2 linked regions of the Coturnix japonica genome follow. The protein of the gene in region 1 binds, or shares a complex with, the protein of each later gene. Links are inferred from orthologs where the notes say so. Each region holds a gene or a part of one and is shown on either strand. Other genes may lie near its edges.

Region 1 (3,818 bases):
GGTGCGGGGATTGATTCCCTGAAGCAGCTGCTCCAGTTGTGTGACAATTAGGGAAAGATGGCTTTCCCGTAACAGATCCATAAAAAGATTTTCTTTCTGTAGGGTTAAGTTTAGAAGTGCAAGGCAATACTCCACTGCTTTCTCTAAATGCTTCTTCCCTGCAGTGCACAAACAAACAAACAACAACAAGAGAAAGAAAGGAGCAGTTACATAGGCCTGACATAGGCCACATTCATAAACATAATTCACCAAGTGTTGTACAAAGAAAGAATTCCATCAGTTATTTATTACTAGGAAAATTCCCCACAAAACACAATTTCTATATGGAAGAGAAGCAAAATCAAGTTGAAGTTACACAACATCAGCTTTAGTTCCTAGGTAGTATGCACTTCGACTTTACATGGAAAATAAATTCTAGGCACATACCTGGAAATGGGGCATAAGTATCCAGCTGCTTAACCCCTTCCTCCAGCAAACTCAGAGAGAGTTCCAGCATTGGGGACTCATTCAATAGATGATACATCAAATTGAACCCAGGTGGTTTGTATGCTATTATTTCATCTCCTAAAGGCAGAAGAAAAAAACAAAAAAAAAAAACACCACAAAATAGAAAAAGCTTCTATTACTCAAACTAGTCTTAGAAAACAGAGCAGACCCTGTTTTGTTGCAAGCAGCAGATGTAAGTAACTTACTGCATCCAAAGTCTTCAGAGCTTTACTTTACAGACAAGCCATTTAGGTAGCTTAGAAAGTTTGGAAAGAGCAGTAATGCCAATTACCACTGTTCTTCAGTATCTAATGGCTGGTTTTCAACTTTAACTGGTTAGACTCTCCCTGAGCTGATTTCCCTTGAATTCTGATAAACAACAGGACTTTATACTAGATTGGAGCTATGTTAAATGGTTCTGTGAGACTGAAAAGTAACTGAGAAAAAACTTTACATCTCCCAAAACCTTCAAAAATATCCAACATAAGGAAAAAAACATTTCCAGAAAACAGTGTTGAGAAGGGTACATTGAACTACTGATTCTTACAGTCTAAGATCCTTGCTTATCTGCTGCAACAAAATAAGAAAACTGCTGGCCTGAAACACCAAGTTCCTCAATAAAATAAAAGCAAAATTTAAATTAAGCTTTAGGTTAAAAGTAAACTTTTAAGTTAATCCTATGTGTAGTTGTGATTTAAATAAAGACCAAAAGAAACAAATCCAGAGGAATCCAAGAGAAATATAAGTCACCCTCCTGGCAGAGCCACAGGCACTGGAAATAATTTACACTAAGGTCTTCTGAATCAGGAGTATAATTCCCTGTATTAGGTGGACATTTTTTAATGTCTTCTTTTCTTATTGCCCTGACCTATCTTTTTGCCGGCTTATTTGCTGTACTAACAAGACCACAAGATAGAGGCAAGAGAGCAAACAAAGTTACTGTTCAGTTTGTCAGCGAACAAATATAAGTGAATGAACAAGTTAACCTTGTAATTCCACATACTGGTCCACGAAGTCTTCAAGCTGAGGTTCATAGTCCCGTAGCAATTTGTAAAATACCTCTAGTACCACTTCAGCCACTTCCCACTGTAGATAGTCACAAAATAAAGAAAATTCATACACAGAATATGACTAATGCTGCAGCAACAAGACCAGAATGCAAATAATACAACAAAATGCAGTGAGACAGTTGATCAGATGCACAGCATGACTGTCTCATTCTAAAGTACTATCCCATAACACTTGAATCCATCACAACAAATAATTTAAACTGCCAAGCTTCCTTTTTTGAAGTAAAATGGAACACTAAAACAGACATATTGTCTCTTTTGTCCTCTCTCCTTTATAACACATGTTAATGCATTAAAAACTACAAGTAATAAACAGACTACAGGTATACAGCAGCTAGTAACAGTTCCTTAACAGCTTTGAGAATGCAGTGTAGCATGTGTGCTCATCCAAAAGGAAATTCCAACTCCTTGCTTCAGGGAGAAAGAAACATTCTCTGAATTAAAAAAGAGGAAAGGACAAAAGTGACTTTCAGATTTCAGAACGTGATGTTCAGAAGTCATTAGCCAATTGGTTCAAATAATTTTTATCACAGAACACATAACCTAACTATGTCTAGAAATAAAAATTATTCCTTTATGAGCAGCCTGCTCTTTTAAGTAGCTGAAGGTCCATTTTCAGCAATGGATTATTGACATTGCCAGGTTCGCCACCCCAAGTTACCCCTGCTGGATTGAGCTTGCACATAAGACAGCTTTTCAAACAGATTTAAGCTTCATAAGCAATCTCAAATCATCTAAAATTAGGTATATACCATTGTATCCTAAAAACTAAATTAAAAAAATAATTTAAAATAAACATTACTTTTTCAGCAGCTCTTCGGTAAGCTCTGGTCCGGAACCGAAGAAACACGGAGTCCCTCAGGAACTGAAGATAGGGATCAAAGCCTGGTGGGCGGAGACCGGCCCCCAAGTTTGAGGGGAATGAACTCTCTACGAGAGTGCTGATGAGTCGACAGAAGGCACGGGTTAAAGGATACTCCTCACATCTGGATTCAATCTCATTCAGTTCAACCTACCCAAGAGGACAGCAAAAAACAGAAAACCAAAGGTTTTGAGTGAGAAAGAAAAACTCGAGAACAAATAAGATAAAGACAACATCTGTAAAACTATTTTCAGTGAATTGACTTCACTGCACTATTGTCCACAGAACATCACAAACAAAGCAAAAGCAGTGAAGCAACAATACTTTGCACTTAGCTTTTAATTACCATTTTATTAAAACAGTACTGAATTGTATCAATATAACAAAAATGACTCAAATGTAGGAAAATAGGAAAATTGTAAGATGAGTGCCAATAAGGAACTTGAAGGTTCAGACACAGTTCTGTTACTAGCACAATGCTGCACTAGATTCATAAATTTATAACATTTTCAGAAAGCATAACAATCCCCAAAATTTACCCTGCACTCATATGCAGAAGATGAGATAGTCTGCCTAGGGACAAAGAAACCCTTACCTCAATACCAATCGCTTGTCTCTGGCCTGGAGTTCTCACAGTCTGTAATATCTTCACAGCAGAGACAGTGAAAACAACAGAGAAAAGAAAACAGATAAACAATATGCTTCATATCATCAAAGCATTTGCCCATCATTCCTAACAGTACCAAAAGGTACTCATCACTTTGTAGCTGTAAGAAGTTTTCTATATCCTCTTAAAAGCCAAAAAGCTAAAATTTCTTTCTCTGAAAGACTGAATTAAACACTGTACACACACTTTTCTTTACATCCCCAAAGATTTGCATCATGCTTATTTTTTTAAAAAAAAGAAGTTTTATTATGTTATTAATTTTCTTCTGATATTGGTCATGGAAGACATTTCCCTTATTATCTTTTTCAGCAGTATATTTTAGGAAATGTAATAAATTAGGAAGCAGAGGTGGTGAGCATTTAGAATACTACCACTATACAATGTCATCACTGTCGGTGCCTGTTAATTATCAATTAACAGTAAGTCAGTAGTCATAGCTCAGAATGCCTCAAGCTCTTTCAAACAAAACAGAAACAAGTCTGAACTATAGTACACACTATAATGTAACTCCATTCCTTATGATTTTTGAGGTAACAACACTAAGATTATTTTCATTTGAGAACAATCTCCTTAGGGGTCATCTTTCCTTTTTTCTCTGAAATCAAGAGAAAAAGGAAAAACAACTATTTTTAAGATATCTAATGTCTGCTATCTAAGTGTGGATGTAGCAGCCACACACTGCAAATTTCAATCAACTTTTCCTCTGAAAATCTGGAAAGCAGATTTTTCCTTC
Region 2 (3,918 bases), on another chromosome or scaffold:
AAACTTGACATATCTTTTATCTAAGCATTTGAGACACTTGGATTTTAACAGCATCAAGTTTTAGATTATACAGTGTCTTCAGAAAAACCAAGCAGAGCTTCTCCAGCTTACTCATCTGCCCAAGCTAAACTCTAGGGAGCAGTAAGATCTGCTACACAGTATGCTATAGCAACTCTACTACTGTGGCAAGTGTAAGACGTAGATGAGTCTTACATCAATACACATCAGCAATTATTCAAATATCCCCACTTCAGCCTTGCAGGACATCTTGACCATTTAGCATTTTTCAAGATAGAGTTGATAACTTAAAAATTCATTCAGATGTATAATACCTGCCCCAAAGATATTTAAATTCTGAATAAATAAAAATACCTTCAACTCATGGTAATTTATTGCTCTATCTTTGTCTGTATCAAACAACTCGAAGGCATCTTTAATTTCTTGTTTCTGTTCCTCAGTCAGTTCTCTTCTCTTCTTCTTTTTAGTTTTGTCTGCTGAAAGCTCACTCCTACATGACAAGAGGGAAATTCAATACAACTGATTAATACTGGAAAGACACCATTTTCCCACCAATAATAATAATAATAGCACAAGTTCATTGCCATCCCCATTCAGCTTCTTCCCAACTTGATCTCCCAGTTTGAAGTAATACCTGAAACAGGCAATTCCTTTGCACAGGTTGAATGGCTTCTCTACTCCTCTGCCCAGCAGAGGTGATCTAGTTAATAAACAATCAATCAATCAAAATTAGAAAAATCTACCAGTTAAAAAGAATACTTGAGGTTGCAGTTACAAGATAGACTGCAGCTGACATGGTACAACTCTAGAAGACACCTTATTTCTAAACTGTAGTGAAACTAGAAAGTTTTAGGAGACAGCTAGAGCTTTAGTTAGGCATTTAGTCCAGCTGCTGAAGTGAGTGTTAAGTGCCATAAATCTTTGGATTTTTTGCCAGTAGAGTTTCATTGATGCCAAATATTTATGGATTTTTAAAAATATTATCATATACATAATAAACCAGATACGTTTTTGCTCTGTTGCTCATACATACAAAACAGTCAAGTCCCCTAAAAAGGCTGAAAGCACACTCTTGGGATATGCAGACATAAAGGTCTGCAATCAACAGCACAACAAACCTGCAGCAATGAGCACAGCTCCTTTGGTGCTAAATCCTACCATTCTGCAGTTGTGCACCTGCACCCAAAGTACTGCATTGAATTGGGGTGCCCCAGTACAACAGATGCAGAGAAGATGGCTAAAATAAAGGGGACTGTGATCAGTACCTAGGTGGCTGCAGCATCTGGTTAAGGAGGAGCTGAAGGAGATGCGTTTGTTTCAATCCAGGTGTGTTGGCAAAAGGACCCTGTGTGGGAAGGCTAAGGCACTGTCTAGAGGATTAGACAAGGCAGACAGGCAAGTCCCCATCAGAGATGCATAGCAACAAGAGTCAGCTACAAGCAGTAAAAGCAGAAGGTGGTAGCAGACCTAGAAGGTCTACCACTGCCACAGTGCAAGTGGTTATGCAGCAGAATAGCTCCACTGGGAGATCACAGGATCTCAGCTGTTAGTAGTGTTGGGAAAGGCCCTCAACCTCCACCTCTGAGCAGAGCTGGACAAGATAACTTTCACAATATCTTCCAAACCTAGGCTGCTGTGCAATTCAAAATGATCTCAGGAAACCCTTTATATTCACTTACCTGCAGCACTGACAAAACACATGTAGTACCACTTACTGCACAGTGCATGGTAGTCACTTATGTGTGAACGGAGAACTGCTTTCCAAAGGTGCTTACTCCCCACACCCCGTAACCAGCTCTTTTTTCTTCCCCCTCACTGAAGATTATCTAATTCTAATTGACATCGGAGATTAACCACGCAGCTGAGATTTATCTGTCACCAACCAATGACCGGCACCGGGCAGACTCCAGAGATAGACACGAGAAGCACATGCCGGCTCTGTTACCTCACCGTGCCCCGGCCGCCGCTTCGGGAAGGCCCCACACGACTGTGCCGGACCAGCAGCTGGGACGCGGACAGCCGAGAGGAATCTACTTACAGCTCTGAATGCAGATTAACGCCGACACAAACACGGCGGTGACGAGGCCCGGCCGCCCCGTAGGAACACCTCCTCCCCACCACTGTGCCGCCCCGCAGCCCGACCTGCTGGCCGGTCGCACACGTACCTCAAGGACAAGCTCATACTACCGCCACTGCCGCGTCCCAACGCGCCGACTTCCCCGTGGAAACGACAAGCCACGCCCCCCCCGCCTCATTTCACCGTCTGATTGGTTATCAGCCAGATCTGCTCCCGCCTTCTCGACGCGTTCATAGGTTATCGCGCTGCCACTCAAGTAGAAGGGAGCGTTCCGTGTGGGTCAGCTTAAGTTGTGTCGCTGTGGGAGGGGCGGGGCTTACTGTGGAGGCCGTCAGTGCGGTGACGGCGGCGCCATCTTGGGAGTGAGCGTGGATATGGCGTGTTTCTCCACACGCAGGGCAGCGCTGAAGCTGCCGCCCTTTGCAGGCTGAGGGTTGGCTCTGGTAGGATGTGTCCTGTGTCACCCTTGAGAAACGTCAGCAGTGACATGGTTGTGCACAGTCAGTGTATGGGAACAGCTTCTGAAAGTCAGCACTTATCAGTCAGCGCAAGTCTTATTAAAAAACACATCAAAGACTACGTATGAAGTATTCTGATACTTATTTCAAGTGTAAGAATTGGATAATGATCTGATCTAGCAGCACGGAATGTGATTAGGTACCTGTAGGTGCCTAATAGTCATATGTGAAAGACAGAACTGTTTCTCTTTGTTTCAAAGCTTGCTCTGTGAGGCCTTTCTGGTGATAAGACTCTTAACTGACAACTGCTAATTATCTCTAGGGGGATGAATGGTGGGTGTCACCATGCCACTGTACCTCTGCTTATGATTGTAAAGATAAGCAGAAGTGGGACAAGCAGTCTCTTTCAGGGGTGCAGCATGAAAGAGCTGACCACTGCAAAAGGCGATAATGCTTGTGCATGACAACAAACATACCACCCCCTGCTGTCTTATCTGTTGGGTCAGGAATGTCACACTGACTGAGAGAAAAGAAAAAAAGAAAAAAAAAAAAGAAAAAACAAACAAACAAAAAAAAAAAAAACACCACAGAAATAGTGGATAAAAGGCCCTCACTAAACTGGGGACTTTGGAGACAAACCCCCAAAGACACCTTTGATGGAGAATTCCCTGAGGGGAAGACCTCTTTGGAAGAACCACCCCCCGCTTGCTGTGGAGCTTCCTGGCTTTCTCCCATCCCATTTCTAGGACTTATAATAAACTGGTTGGACCAACATTTGAACCATTGTTTCTTAATCTCACGCCAGGTATACATATGTCAAAGTACCTCTCCTTCCTCCTATAAATTGGAGCAAGATGTGTAGCTCATCTCTCATTTTTCTGGCTGCCAGGAAGCTTACTGGTTGCCTAAAGCCAGCTGTCAAGTATTTATGTGTTCCACGGACAAGAAAAATACACCTATGACTCTGATCTACAAGAAGGGTTGTAAGGAGGATCCAGGGAACTATAGACCCATCAGACAGACCCTGGAGCTAGGAAAGGTTACTGGTCTTGAGTGAGATCACACAGCAGATGTGAGACAGCAGCACTAACCATTCTTCTGTCTGTCTATGTGTAGGGCCTATCTGTGAACACTATACCAGGTATTGCCAAAAGCCTGCTGGAAGCAGTTTTGCTTCTTCATTAGCAGAACACCTCAGAAAACCTGTGCCCAAACATAGTCAAAGTGAGTAGGGGGACACCTCCCCAGATGACCTCTGTGCAAGTGCAGAAGACTCAATTATGCTTGCTTAACTTTGTACCTTTGTATATATAAAAGTTATACCTTTTGAACTGTAAGAAGATAGTGTAAAGACAAGCATGCTTA

Evidence for each region.
Region 2: NUP205 (region 1) and CETN3 share a complex: the UniProt entries of both Homo sapiens proteins name them as parts of the nuclear pore complex. The link is inferred for Coturnix japonica from reciprocal best matches to the Homo sapiens genes NUP205 and CETN3.

What each region holds. Positions count from the first base shown.
Region 1 is NC_029516.1:43,453,926-43,457,743, forward strand, and holds part of NUP205 (nuclear pore complex protein Nup205), read right to left. Parts: intron 3,065-3,818; coding exon 3,014-3,064; intron 2,569-3,013; coding exon 2,359-2,568; intron 1,573-2,358; coding exon 1,473-1,572; intron 565-1,472; coding exon 427-564; intron 159-426; coding exon 1-158. UniProt on the Homo sapiens protein: Plays a role in the nuclear pore complex (NPC) assembly and/or maintenance. May anchor NUP62 and other nucleoporins, but not NUP153 and TPR, to the NPC.
Region 2 is NC_029547.1:53,317,812-53,321,729, reverse strand, and holds the start of CETN3 (centrin-3), read right to left. Parts: upstream 2,312-3,918; 5' UTR 2,201-2,311; coding exon 2,184-2,200; intron 509-2,183; coding exon 373-508; intron 1-372. UniProt on the Homo sapiens protein: Plays a fundamental role in microtubule-organizing center structure and function. As a component of the TREX-2 complex, involved in the export of mRNAs to the cytoplasm through the nuclear pores.